Linked DNA regions of Arabidopsis thaliana. The protein of the gene in region 1 interacts with the protein of each later gene in a pairwise test. Each region holds a gene or a part of one and is shown on either strand. Other genes may lie near its edges.

Region 1 (7,471 bases):
TAGGAACATTGACTAGCTTCGGTTCTCCGTCTATTGAGACTGCCCCAACTATCACCTAAGCTCCAAACTTTTGAAGGCTCCGCGATATAAGGACCGTTCATGATGTTCAGAATGCTACAGGCTTCACTGTATTCTAGCTCCGGTAAGAGTTTTGGGGTCAGTAAGAAGCACCTACAACAGCAAAGACCAAACATTTGTTTCTTACTTTTTACGACACTTGAGAGCAGTTTCCAGGGTGTTTTCGTATGAATAGAAAAAGGAAAAACTTACTGTGGTGTGTTTGGTTGACTAGCAGCTCTAACCAATTGTTGAAACATCTTCCTTTCATTTATGGGATCCATACCTGCACAAGCAAATGTATATTTTTAAGAGACTTTGACTAATGTTTCGAGACAGTTTTTACATTAAAAAAAAAACATTTACACTTTTTACCTTGATTAATCTCATCAACAACCCTGAAAGGACAGTTTGTCAGATCTTGAAGAGAGACGAGGTAAAGGATAGTTGAGACAGAACGCTCTCCTCCAGATTGGTGGTGAGAGCTTAGAACCTGAAGTTGCCCAGATTCTCTGAATTTCACTTTGATATGTATTCCGTATTGATCAAAGTCAGTGTCACGTTCATCCAATGAAACTTCTCCTGCAACAGCCATTTCTTGGAAGTTGTGGCTGAATGTTTCATTTATCTGACCAACAAGCTGTCTCAACGTTGGAAGCCATTTCTCCTTTAGCGAATCGATTTCTTTCATGCATATGCTCAGATCTCTTTTATCAGTTTCGAGCTTCGTAGAAATGGTATATATCTGACTTTGGCGATGTTCATACTCTTGGAGAATGTTCTCGTTTATGAAAAGGATCGAATTGGCTTGAGACAGATTGTCTTGTATAGCCGCTTCCAATTCTTCGACTGTGGTAGGCATCTCCATAAACTCCTTTTTAAGTTCAGGTGTGATGGTTGCAACAGATTCTGCATCCCTCTTGGCAGTTGCTAGCCGCTGCTGCTTTCCTTCTACCTCTTTCTTACAATACTCAACGGCGAGAGATAGCTGTTGTGCCGTTTTCTCATATTGTTTGATATTGATTTCCGACTCTCTGATCTTTCTTTCCAATTCTATAGAAGCCATATGCTTCTCGGCGTAACTCCACTTATGAGCAACAGCCTCCACAAGTAATTTCTTGAGATTGATTGCATATGTATAGCGGTCAGCGTTAGCTCTGGAAGCCTGATCAATCAGCTTAGCAACTGAAGCATCCATGTCCTCCTCTTGCTCTAAAGATTCCAGCTTTGTCTTCCTTTGCTGGTAACGGGATTCCAACTCACGGCGTTTTTTCTTCTCCAGATACGAAACATTTACAATCTCCTCCCTCTCTTTATGAAGTTTAGCTGCTTCTTCTTCCAAACGTCTTTGCTCTGTTTGAAGACTCTTGTGAGTTTCCTCCATGAATAAAATAGAGTCTTCTAATTCCTCCTTTCTTGATCTCAGTTTCTCAAGCTCTCCAACGTCCACCCCACATAATAGAAGACGTGATTGATATACAGAATCTACACTTGCAGAGGAATGACCACCATATCTTGAGGAAGACCACCGGTAGTGATTGTCTGGGGTCCAAAAATCTTTAATACCCAACTTATAGACTTCTTCAGCCCTCTGATCGGTAATCTTTGATCCAATGTACGAGTCCTCCAGACCAAACTGGGAATTTAAAACCTCCTTGACGGCATCAGGAGCATCAAATATTTGATCAAGCCGAGCATGGATCCCAAGAGAACGCATCTGATCAGAAATATGAAAGGGAGCCTTTTGATTGCCGCTATTGCCCACATAGTTTAGAACAGGAACATCAAATCGTTTTAAATTTTTAACCAGCAAATCACGGTCCTCCGGATCCTGAGTGATAAAAGACTTCCAGATATAAAAAGAAACATGACCCTCCAAAAAGCAAGCGTTCTCTCGATTTGGAACGTTAACCTCCACCAAAACAGGACCATATACTTCCCTTTTAAACTCATGACGATTCTGTTGCACCCATTGATATGCGTCAAATATCCTATCAGCTCCAGAGTTAGCTAACGCTTTCAAGAGTTTGTTATTTGCATTCTCCATGTCCTTTAACTTATCTACGCATTGCCTCAGGGTGTATCTCTTCTGAGACAAAAGCTTCTCGTTGTCCTCCTTCTGATTCTTCTTTCCGTTAATGCTATGATGCAGCTCTGTAACCTGAGAGCTCAATTCTTCAAGTTTGGCTACAGGACGTTCGTATACAGGCAGGTTTTGGAGTTCCCGTTCCGCAGCAACGAGATCCTCAGTAGCTTTCAGAATCCTTTCTTGACGATGCTCTTCTTGTTTCTTCAATTCCTCCAGTTCTTTGTACGTTGCCACTACACGTGCGTCTGCCTCATCTTCTTTCTCGAGCAAGTGACAACGGTTTCTTCCATTTGCATCCATGAGATTCTTAACTTTTTTGCATTTTGAATCTGTCTCTGCTTTCTCCTTCTTTTGCTTTTCTATAGGTTCCTTCATGCTGTTCAAATTCTTTGCAGCTTCATCCAATTTTTTCTCGGCTTCCTTCATTCTCTTCTTAGCATCCATGTACTCAGCTTTTTTCATATCATACTTTAGCCATGGCAATTTCTTCTTCATGGAATCAACCTTAGTCAAAAACAACTCTCTCTGCCTAACACGCTCCACGTCCTTCTCTTGCTCATCAACAAGAGCTTTAAGCTGATTCAGCGTCTCTCCATTTTTCGCCACAGCTCTCTCAAGCTGCTTCAGATCACGGCTTTTCTCAACTAGCGCGCGATGATGGACTGGCAGTTGAGGATCCCCAACAGCTTTTTCCGTCTCCTCCAGGAGTTGCACAGGAGTTAACTTGGCAAACTCGCAAACCCTATCTTGTGGCAGGAACTGCGTGAGATTGTTAACTTGAATGTTGAATTTCTGTATTATCTCCACAATATCTTTCTTACTAACTGTGCTTCCATTAAACATCCACTCAGACTTGTTACGTGTATCGATCTTACGAAAAATCGTAAGATTTTCTTCCCTGGTGTTACCTCTCAAAGAGATCTTGACATAGCCAGAATCTTCCCCACGCTTAACATATGCTCCAACACTAGTAGCTCTCCCAAGAAGCTGAGGCTCACCACCAAGACAGAGTGCAATGGCACAGACAAGAGAACTCTTACCTGATCCGTTAGGTCCAATAACAAGGTTCAAACGTGATCCAGGTTTGCATACCAAGTGATTGAATGTCATGAAGTTGTGAAGCTCGATTTCGATTATATTCCCAGGCAAAAAGTCATCTTCTCCTCTGGAGATTTTAGGACGCTTAGCACGACGTTCAGACATCTTTGTCGTTTCTCAGCGGTTCAGAGATTTTTACTGAGTTAACCTGAAAAAAATTGAAACTTTCGTATGAAATCCAACAGGGAAACAATGTAGAATCGAAAATTAGAAACTTAAAAAATTTAGAATCTGGACAGTGCAAAAGCTAACCCTAAAACCAAAATTGAAGAATTGAAAACTAAAATCTAATCAAACAGAAACTTCTAGTAACAATCTCAAATCACAAGCAATCATCAGTTTCGCATTAGCCTTTCTCTCCAACATAAACCCTATGACTGGAAAATGAACAGTAAAACCAAAAAAAAATCAAATTTTTTAATAGCGAAATCAACTTACGAACAAGACAGAGACGGAAAATAAAAGAGAACGCTGAAAAACGAACCCCAAAAGAAGAATAGACAATTCGATTTGCTAACAAACAAAGTTGAATTTCCGAAATCGAGAAGGAAAACAGACCTGAACAAGTGAATTTAGCCGAAATTGAAATATGGAGCGCGGAATTGAACCATACGAGGATAAACCCTAGACTCTATCTGAATTGCGATTTTTCAGTTTGTTTGCAGAGCTGAAAGTGAAACCATGAAAAAGCGAAAACCCGGGAAAAGAGAAGCACGACGACCAAAGCACACTCTCTCTCTCTAGGTTAGCCTTTTAAAACCTTGACGCCGGTTCAAATTCAACTCGTTTTAAAATTAAAATCGACTCATTAAGTCCGGTTATTAAATAAAAACCCGGTTTACAGATTCATAGGCCCCTTTTTTTTTGTGTGGAAGCTCTTGAGTCTTGACATTGGAAGATTATCAAAACAAACCAAAAAAGTTGAATCTCTAATGACGATGGTTATTGGTTCCAGTTTCAAAAAGATTTCATTATTTGTTCTCCTATTGTGTAATATGCGAAAGTCATAGTTTATTTGGTAGCAGAAGACCAGAGACGATGGTTATTGGTTACATTTGAATTTGACATTTAAAACCGTATTGAGGAGAACTTTGTTAAGACAGGTGTTGTTTTCAGTGACCATGTTGAAGAATCCGGTACACATCGATGACTCCAGAAGCAAACTCGGGATCAACTGCAGCTTTTACCGCTGTTGCTGCAACGGATTTGACATTGACCGGAGGTATTAAAAGTGGCCCGATCACAGGAATTTTCGTCACCTCTTTTGGCAACAGCTTCAAAACCTGTAAATGATATAATGTTTTTGAGATAAAAAAAAAAAGATTCTTACTTTCACCTAAAGATTACCAAGATTGATGCAAATCGTGTTTTACCATTTCGAGAGGAGCTCCAATGAGACTAAGTGGCAGCTTTATGCTACCGACCTGACGAGTCCCATGTATGAATCCTGGCCTTAAAACCGAACCTTCGAAAGCAGAGGAAAAAACAACGACTTATCAGTGAACACGCATGTATATAGAAATGGAGTTTTTGATTAAAAGTGAGAATTTACACACCTCTGTTTCCAAATTTATCCAAAATCTCAGCTTCGGTTGCTCTCTGAAAATAGATAGATAAATTGATCAAAGAGATATGTAAATAACTAAGAACAAAAACCAAGAAGACAAAGAATAAGAATAAGTACCTTCCCTTCGAAATATCCTCGAATCAAGTTATTTATGACACCAAAATCCGCAGCTGATATATACACAAATCTCTTCACACCTAAACAGAATATATAAGCCGCTTTTCTGTTAGTTTGCCAAAGAACAACAAGCCACAAAAACCTTATCTATATATTTTTGCAGATAACTCAACAATTTGAGTTTTCTCTCATCCCCATACAACACAAGAAATCTATGAATGTTTAGTTGTTTACCTTGTTCTGCTGCAGCTTTAACAGCATTGATGTTTGCAGTACCGTTAATTCTGACCATTTGTGAGTTGGAACCAAAACCACCAACACATGAAATCTGCACAAGTTTCCATCAGAGATGCGAAGGAACCATATGATGAAGTACCTTTTAAGAAGATTTCTTAATTACCACAGATGTAATTCCTTCTAGTGCAGGCTTCAGAGAATCGGGTGAAAGCAAATCACCTATTTTTTTAGTAGAAAACAGAAATCGAGTGAATCATCGAAGTCTTTTGTTCATAAATGATGAACAAATTGAAAATGTGTTTTCAGATGTTGGGAATACCTTGATGCCAGGTTACATCATCGACCCACGAATCGTGAAGAGAAGATCTTCCAGACCTAATAAACAGTTCAAAGACTAAAGGTTAAGCTACGAAGAGACAGTCTATGAGTACTAAATCAGATTTAAAACCGGTAATGATACAAATACCTGCTAAGACTAGATACAGAGAAACCTTGTCTCAGTGCCTCCTTACATATGTGTGAACCTACATAACCATTTCCTCCCAAAACCAATATCTGCATTCAAGACAAAATACTGTAATAGATACAGCGAAAGAGAGGGAGACAGTTTGTGATCAAGTTTCTTTATATTGCACATATGAAACACACAAACAGAGATACAAACCAGAGACTTCCAAACAACAACCCCGTAACCATAGAAAACTCTACACTCTTATTTCAACTGATTATATTCCTAACTAATTGTCTGATGTAGCAATCGGATTTGAGGAACTCTCTTATCACAAAGTCTCATGAGACTCAAAAGCAATGAGAGAGTTATTGTCTATTACCTTATTATCTCTTGAATGTGAACCAGCGACTTCAGACAAAAGCCTTTCATTTCCTCTCTGACTGATTGAACTGCCAAAGAGATAAAGACAAGAAGACCATCATCAGTATATGCAACATTGTCAATGATTTTATGAAGAAATCACACAATTCAGTAATATCAAGTGTTGGGTCAGAGACTATGTCCCCAAAATGAAAATCCCTACAAGTGATTCATTCGTCTCTGGCAGCAATAAAGATCAATGCTTTATTCGAAAAACAGTTCTATAGAATTCGAAAGGCCTTAGAAGAAGAACTCACGACATCGTGACGACTGAAGAATATGCCTGTGATCGTTTCCAAATCAGAGACCTTAACATGTTAAACCCTAAAGCTGAGTAGCTCAAGTATCGCGACTTTTTCTCCCGGAATGAAGATGAATTGAAACTTAGGCAAGCGATTATAAATCTGAAACTGCAGAATTCTTAAAAACTTTGTGGAATCATGAGTCGTGAAGTCGAGATCTTCGGGAAAAAAAAAAAGAGACCTTTCACAATCACAACTGTGGAGACGATTGTGGCGTTCTAGCTTCCACGTAGACTATCCACGTGTCATCATGAATAAAAAACTAAAACATTGAATAGAATAAGAAACACTCAAGAAACTGAGAACAACAAACAACGCTGCAGCGATTCAGTGTTTCTTAGATGTTACTCACATTCAATTTTACTTATTAGACCGTTTTGACATATAATAAAGAATCATAGTGTATACTTGTTAGTGCAATTGGTATACTGACTCGATTCAGAAATTTTTGTTTAAGATAAGATAAAACAGAAAATGTTTGCTTACCTTTTGGTTAAATTATAACGACAAACCAAAATGAATCCACATGGGTGAAGAAGCTCATATGTTTGTTTTAACTCTCAAATTCATATACTAAACTTGTTCGTAACAGTTGGAAAGTGCATAATAATAACTTGATACTGTATAATCAAAAATATGAATTGTTGAAAAAATCATAAGTACTAGTTAAGCAAATTATGACCAAGACATAGCCTAGTGAATTGTAATATTTCCGGCATTGTGTTATCATTTAGATTTATACAACACAATGCATGTTTTAAAAAAAAAAATTATATTGTGACAATTGCATAGTTAACAACCTAGCTAAACACTAATTACATGTGTTACAGAATTAAATATCACTTAAACGTCCAAATTGCCGACAAAAAACGTCCAAATTAGCGGAATAGTCATCACATTGTGAATTTATTGTTTGATTGATCACTTTAAAATTTTCAGTTAGCTATTTTGCAATAATAATAACTCATAATTTAGATGTGACACCTACTCTTTTTGTTCTAACATAGAAGAAAAATTCACAAAATTTCATGATTTGAAATAATTCACAACTTATAAACAAATCGAGTCCCAATTACTCTGGTATAATCTTTGTATGCTTTCTCTCTCAAAATCTCTCCTTCTTTCTCTGTCTC
Region 2 (7,471 bases), on another chromosome or scaffold:
CAATTATAGCATTTGGTAACGCATGCATTAAGGATTGACTAGTGCAACTAGACAGAAAACATAACAAGCATTGTAGCCATATAAATATATCTACACCTAGAAGTAAGATAGTAGTAGCATACCGATCAACCCCGAGTTCCCCATACTTGCCTTCGATGTATTTGTTAATTGCTTGCTCGCTCATTTTGGTGGGTCTTACAAACCTTATGAAGAAGTATAGAGAACAAATAATCAACCACATTGTAAAATTGAGGAGTAAAATTATTAGAGAACAAGCAATAATTAACATTGTGGTATCTAGCTATGACCAATAACATTCTGAAAGAAAATAAATTTCTGAGGTCTTCTTATGTCTAAACAACTCACTAACAGTTCTTACTCCAATGACACAAAATCAACCATCCAAACAGCCAAAGACCTTACGATTGTTAAGAAAAGTAATGCCATTAAAGATAGGAAGCTGTTATGACCTGTGGAATAAGTCTACGACTTCCATGGTTTTGGCATCTACGATCAAAATAGGAAACTCAAGAATCTCAACTTTTCCTTCCAAGTCAATAACCAAGAAAAAATTGAATTCTTGTGACTTCTTTCTCTCAAGATCAGCAGCAGCCACTCGAAGTTCCTTTGAACAATCGTGGTTAAAAATCTCCAAATGGGCAGGATCATCCATCTGATATCATCAACATAAACTTTATTACCCATCATTCACGATTATTTAGGTATAAAAAACTAGTAAAGAATAACAATGTAACGATCGAGACACAAACAATAAACAAGTTCCAATCTCGTTCAGACATTCCATCGAACAGGTCGCAGACATTGCATAGTTGATTCAAATTTCGCATCACTTGTTTTCGAACAAGCATACGGAGCAGGAACCAATCAATAAAGAAATGGAATTTAATTCCGCATTCCGCTGTAGCAAAAACTAAATTTAAAAAGAACGACGAGTAGCAAAGTGTTTACCTTTGTACACTTTCCGTGGGTGTAATACAAGCACATGGGTCTCCACCTTGCATTTTCACTTGTTTCCATTAACGAAAAAGTAGAAGGAGAAGAAGAAGAAGAAGAAGAAGAAGAAGAAAAGTCAGAGGGAGAAGGAGATGGAGATACAGAATGCGAAGAGTTGCACATGATTCGTTTGGTATGAGCTAAAGCCAACGTGGCGGGATAAGAGAACCGGGTATCACGGAAAGGACTGATTCTGGACAACGAAACCCTAAATGCAGAGAATGCGGACGCCATTTTCGTCGATTAGCATGAAGATTGAAGATGAAGATCTTCCTTTCGAGTACAGGGACTGGGAACTGGGAAGCTAAAAGCCTTTAGTTTGTTTTAGTAACCAATTCAAATCGAACCAAAAATTGAATTTGAAAACCAAACTGGATTTATATCCACACAAACTCTTAACCAATGCCAAACCATACCATGAAAAACTAATAAACCGAGTAGACCTAATAATGGTACTAAATCGAAAATTCTGACTACAAGAAATGAAATTAAGCTTTGACTAGCCTCAGGAAATGAACGTAAACTTGGCAAAAAAAACAGCAGTTGAATTCAGAATCGGAAGAGATCGACTATTTACATCCTCCATAAAGTGGAAACAATTGGTATCAAATTTCACGTTTGATAAAATATACCGAACGGACTAAGAATAGCAAAAAGTTGTGAAACATATGGCTTCAACTTGTTTCATTGCAGCGCTTAAAACCCGGTCCAAGAAATGTCTGATCTCTAATCTTCATCCACATCTTCTGTGAAGTCTTCAATCACTTCAGCCCTATTAGATTGTTTGTTCAACGAGCGCATCTCCTCTATTTCAAACTTCAACATTGCATCACAAATCACTTTGCTATTCTGCAGTTTACCTCGGCACCCTGAGGATTTCAAGAGGTCATACAAATGACAAATCAGCATGAAAGAACAAAGTAATGGTGTCTAAAGATGTTTTTGAGCAAGAACTATTTTACCTGCTACAGGACAATTCGCATTTGGATTGTTGACTATGTAATGCAGGATTACAGATTTTTCATAGACGTGCCTGCAATCCATACTGCAACCATAAAAAGGATCAGAGAGACATGGTATCAGTTCACCGCACAATTGTATATTATTATTTGATTAGTTCTACTGCTACACGAAAGATGAAATCATATTCAAGCTTTATGGTCATGTATAGAAAGAAGTCAGTATCGACTGAATATGGCTTTTGAGGATCATCCTACATAGACATCAGGCATGGGAGAGGACAAGCAAATCGTCCGAACAAAACAAGACATCCAAGTTAAGGGAAAAAAGACAAGAAACATCCATTGTACCTGCGAACTGGATCTGCTAATTCAGTGACAGGCTTCCCGCTCAAGGGACATGTCATGTTTAGAAGAGGGCACTGAGTACTGGTCATAACAATGTCCTCATCATCGTCACCAGGCATTGGTTCACCTGCATGATGAACATTCTGCAGCAAAACATTGACAATAACTTAAAAAGGAAATCGGACTATAGACCTATTAGATACAAGCCAAGAACTTTAAGTTAAAAACATACCCAAACTGCTTCCCTGAACTGGCGCATCAAATGATCATTTTGTGGCACTGAGGAAGGTGTAGCCTTGAGCTTTGTGAATTCATCATCAAGCAACTTTTTAAAGTCCGTTAACTGCAGTCATTAGAGTAAAAATCAATTTGCTACATCTAAAAGTATGCAACCGAATAAGAAATTAGATAACACATGAAAGAGGGAAAGTGAGTACTTGTTCCACGGGTTGGTACCGATTTGCAACGGATTGAATTGCTGTCGAACGGTGATTACAATCACTATGCAAATCCAATAACTCAGCCACAGAATTTTCAAGGTCCTTAACCTGTGGAACCCAAAATATAAAAATGAAGAGCATATATAAAGAGCATTTAAGAAAAACAAAGACAGACATCAAGGAAAGAGTGTTGGCAAGAGCAGACAATAATACAATGTCAGAATGAAAGAGATACGTGATAACAAGTTTTACAGCAATGCAATTAACCAAGAATCAATCACATTAGAAGAAAGTCTAGGCAGTTCCCACAAGTTTAAGATAAGGTCACTTATGATTAGCCAATACAAAAACTCAAGGAGATGAATGAAACTACTCTACATTGTAGCAAAAAAAAAAAATGTAAAACGGCTACAAGTGCGTTTATCCCTGAAAACGCTTCCTCTCATATCAGACAAAATAATAACCAACCTTGTCCGTTTGATTTTCTTTCTCCAATTGAACTGCAATGTTCTTCATCATTGCCACAGCTTTGCGGATATCCTGCAAATAAAAGTAAAAACAGATACGAGATAAAGCAGATTCTAGGCTATAAATTTTGCCCAAATTAGAAATCCCTTGTTCACTTCTAACTAGTCAAACCCATTATAAGCCGAAGCTCCTATCTGTTAACATCTCGGAGGAAAGATTTCAGGAACTTCTCAGAAACCTATATTTACATCAAAAAAAAAAAAGAGTGAATTTGGTTTGAACGAAAATACTCACAGCAAGCGTGGAACTGTTATCGGAGACAAGAACCAAAGAAGCGTTCTGAATCCTTCCGGCAACTCCGTCAGACGAGGACGCCGACGCCATATCTATCGCTCCTTCGCTCCAATTTTCTCTTCCGAGGTTTGTTTTGGAGGGAGAAATCAGAAGACGGAAAGAGTGAGAGAGCCTGCGATATACGGAGGTTTGCTGAATAAAATGCGTGCCGTCTTATGCTACTATAAGCGACACGTAGTTAATTAATCCTATTAGAAAACGTGAAGAAGACAAGTCGTACCGGCCGAACGAAGTCGTACTGGCCAAACGATGTCGTATCGCTGCAACAAGCTATAAAAAGGCCGCAGCCAATCCATAGCCCGTCTAGGGGGTTTGCTTGATAAACTGTGTGCCGTCTTATGCTACTATAAACGACATGTGGACAAGAAGAGATGGCATGTAGTTTAAGGATATAGATCTTTGAATAAACGACGTCGTCTTCTTTCCAATCCTCTTTCTCCGGGACTCTGGAGTCGCCGAAGCTGAAACTTCTTCATCCATCATCATATCATATGAATTTTTTCTAGTGATCTTCTTTTTGATTGAGAACATGAGTGATCAAGAAGGAGACTGGGATTTTTACCTCAGAATCCTAAGCAACAGCGCGCGGGATTCTACGGATCCTGCTTCTGATCCATCTATACTACAATCAGTACGCATCTTTTGTCCATTTATTGAGAATTGGCTTGAGACTGGTATTAAGTGATACATTGCTTTCGTTTTGTTTGAATGTATATGGATTAGGTGAAGAAGCTGCATGGGTTCTGTAAAATGGAGAAATCAGATGATCTTGTGGCTAGAATTTATCCACAATTCAATAAAGTCTTCCATCGTTCGGTTGCTTCACTATCTCAGTCCGAGTCAGGGGCGTCCAAAGGCCTTCTCTTGCTAGTACATTATTCTCCCTGAAGAATTTCAGATGAAAGTTTGTTTTTTTACGTTTTGGGTTCTAGTGTGTATTAAGGATTCTGTGTTTGTGTGTTTAGGCCATTCTTCAGTTTTTTCTTGATTTTGGGGATATGGTTCTGCACGATTCTGACCCAAGTTTGAGGACATTCTTCCGCTCATGTCTTAGCCGGTATGGACTACCTTTTATGTCTTGACTGGGTCTTGTTGTGGCTCTGTGCTCTGAGATGTGTGCTACTATGCGTTTATGTAGATAAATTTTGCTGATATGATCATGATTTTCTTTGTAGTGAGTTCTCAGATGCCGCTGTGGCAGAGGCAACTTGTGAATTCCTTGTTGTGAACCAAAGAAAGCTCTTAGCATCTTTCCCAAACTTACTCCCTCAGGTATTAACTGGAATGACTAGCCATATAAATCCTTAAACTTTCTTTTAGCTTTCAGTCTCAAGAAGATTACTCTCTTAATTAGTAAAGTGCCTCTATTTATTGTGTTATTACTGTGTGCATCAACATATGTAATAGAACTGTATCTTTCTGTCCTTATAGCTTTATGCAATCTAGCTGTTCCTTCTGCTTTCATCTTTCTTAATTTGTGTCCATTTACATTTCCACCGCTTGAACAATTAAGCCATAACAGATATATTATATCTCTATCTAATTCAAGAAATTGTATTTGCAGTTTTTCCCGTTGTTGCTTAAGCTCATTGCCTGGAATTGGGAGAAGTAAGCTGAAAATATGCACAAGTGATTTGAACAATTATCTCAAGGAAATAAATTTTCTTTGTTCTAATTTCAGGTTGGAGAAGTCCTTCCTGAAGATATTTCCAGGACTGATATCACCTGGGTCATTTCTTCCTCTGTTTCCATCCATTGTAGACTTGCCAAGTGAGTCCGCTTGTCTAAAAAATGCTACTCGACTTCATATATTTGTTTGTACTCTAATTTGGAGACCACTTGGATGACTCCAACTGTACTAAGATGTATTTGTAAGCTGACTGGTTTCCATTGTTTTGAGCTTGTTTGGTATTTCTCCATTGATGCTTGGACTTTATTCTCTCAGCCTGATTGAGTTTACGAGTGTACTGTGTACTAATTATGTATCTTCTTGTTAATATTTTTGCTAGTATTGGTCGTGGCATTAGAAAAGGTGGAAAGGAGCTCGGGGTCGGGGTCAAGGGTTGGAGGTAGCATTGCTTCAATTCAGAAGAGTGCAGCTCCGGAGGTCTTATATCTCATAAAAACATAAACCATATGACAGTTCTTAGATAGTCAATGAATGACAAGGATACCTGTGAATGCAGATGCTTCTTGCCCTTATGGATGAAGCATATACTGGTTCAACCATCGGGGATGGAGGGGATGACTCTGAATCTGAAGATAACAATACAATAGATGTAGCTGATCCTCTGTTTCTGGAGCTTCTGAAGGACGAAAATGATGGTCTAGCGGTATGCATCCTTCCTCTGGCTTTGCTTTATTCCAAAAACTCAACAGAAACAGTTTTATATAATAATTGTCTATTAGTAAAAATTTAGGGCCTATGTGAAAGTTGGTAGTTTTTTAAACTGTCTGATATATTAGACAAACTGAAAGTATTTTGTCAAATTTGTGCTGCAGGAAAGACACCGCGCTTCTCCTACATTGAATGCAGCGCTGCAGGCTGCTGCAAGTGGTCCTCGGTCAGAGAGGATGAAGCAGACTCTTAAGATTGCTCCCCGACTTCTTGATGTCTACTTTAGTGTTACATTGCGAGATGCAAATGACTGTAAGATAATTTACAGCCTTCCTAGTTTGTTTTAGTTGCTAAAGGAATATAAGTCAATTTCCAACTTAGTTAGGCCGTTGACAACTTTATCTTTTGCAGCTCTGATCTGTGCTTTAATCCCTCTACTCATGACAAGAAACTCTACAATGTTTCCGGATAAGATTTTTTCTCATGAGGTACACGCATCTTCTGTATTGTTTTTCTGAAGACTTTCCTTAGAAAATCATTAGAACAGGCTAATTGACAATGTTTATTGATTTCTCTCCTCTAGATATGAGTGTAGCGTCCATTAATATTTCTTCAGAAATGCCAATGCTATTTTGACGTTTTAGTGTATAGACCTGTATCACTGCCATATTGGACGTTATCTTACAGAGATATTGTTTGCGTACACAGATCCGTAGGAGGCTACTGGAATTTGTACTAGCTGCATTTCAGAGGTCTCCAAATTTCATTGCCCTGTTGAAAGTAATGTCTGCCTATTTTATTTTATTTTTTTGTGCGAGTAATAGCTTTAGAATTTAGATAAGAAGATTTCACAGTGCATTATTAGATACATAGTCTTATGATTACCGCTTATTTTCTCGAGTAATTTGCAAGATATGCATTCTCAACTTCTTAAATAATACAGAAGCCTATTATTGACCGACTTGGGGAAGCTTACGATGATGTTGCAAAGGTCAGTTTCTAATATTTAGACGGATGCTTTGTAAGATAATCTCCTCTAAGCATTTTCTTCCGTAGAGAGAGTTAGCCTTACAGCTATGTTGGGCAATTGGAGAGTATGGTGGTGGGGGAGAATCTCACAAGGAAGCTGCTCGAGAGCTTTTTGAAAGTTTAGAGTTGCTTGTATATGAGAATCTCTCATCAAGGTATTACAAACTTTTGTTTGTGTATCATCAATCTGCTTTCTTGGACAGAAAACATAAATGGTAATTACAATGTTTTCCCTATTTGTTTCCAACGACCAAAAAAGCCGCCTAGGTTTGAGGCAAGAATCTGGGAATGGTTCAAGAAGAACAACACAGTCAAGACTTCTGTGTTTTGTAGTGACAGCTATCGCAAAGCTCGCAACATATCACCGAGAATTATTACCAAGAGCCCGCGTCGCCTTGGGAAAGGTACACAGGAAATAATTGAATCTATTAATGCACTTACCAATGATTAGTTGATTACTAAACATCTGGAATCTGAGTTCCACAATTATGTACATGTGTAGGTAGTAAAGTCTCGGATAT

What was found.
Region 2: the proteins of SMC5 (region 1) and HPY2 interact in a two-hybrid assay, tested with the Arabidopsis thaliana proteins (one study listed by BioGRID).

What each region holds. Positions count from the first base shown.
Region 1 is NC_003076.8:5,192,088-5,199,558, reverse strand, and holds the start of SMC5 (structural maintenance of chromosomes 5), read right to left. Parts: upstream 3,967-7,471; 5' UTR 3,803-3,966; intron 3,393-3,802; 5' UTR 3,350-3,392; coding exon 433-3,349; intron 344-432; coding exon 271-343; intron 172-270; coding exon 1-171. Other genes in the region: AT5G15910 (NAD(P)-binding Rossmann-fold superfamily protein), read right to left, coding at 4,357-4,527, 4,618-4,709, 4,801-4,843, 4,929-5,008, 5,163-5,256, 5,329-5,384, 5,485-5,540, 5,632-5,720 and 2 more; TBL19 (TRICHOME BIREFRINGENCE-LIKE 19), read left to right, coding at 7,432-7,471. UniProt on the Arabidopsis thaliana protein: Core component of the SMC5-SMC6 complex that promotes sister chromatid alignment after DNA damage and facilitates double-stranded DNA breaks (DSBs) repair via homologous recombination between sister chromatids.
Region 2 is NC_003074.8:5,100,470-5,107,940, forward strand, and holds HPY2 (RING/U-box superfamily protein), read right to left. Parts: upstream 3,691-7,471; 5' UTR 3,614-3,690; coding exon 3,524-3,613; intron 3,302-3,523; coding exon 3,230-3,301; intron 2,870-3,229; coding exon 2,759-2,869; intron 2,665-2,758; coding exon 2,554-2,664; intron 2,465-2,553; coding exon 2,325-2,464; intron 2,060-2,324; coding exon 1,977-2,059; intron 1,884-1,976; coding exon 1,741-1,883; 3' UTR 1,375-1,740; downstream 1-1,374. Other genes in the region: AT3G15140 (Polynucleotidyl transferase, ribonuclease H-like superfamily protein), read right to left, coding at 123-203, 471-673, 970-1,248; AT3G15160 (AP-5 complex subunit zeta-1), read left to right, coding at 4,113-4,214, 4,307-4,453, 4,549-4,640, 4,759-4,855, 5,148-5,191, 5,265-5,353, 5,593-5,690, 5,770-5,916 and 7 more. UniProt on the Arabidopsis thaliana protein: E3 SUMO-protein ligase that modulates cell cycle progression and functions as a repressor of endocycle onset in meristems. May function downstream of the meristem patterning transcription factors PLETHORA 1 and 2 (PLT1 and PLT2) in root meristem development.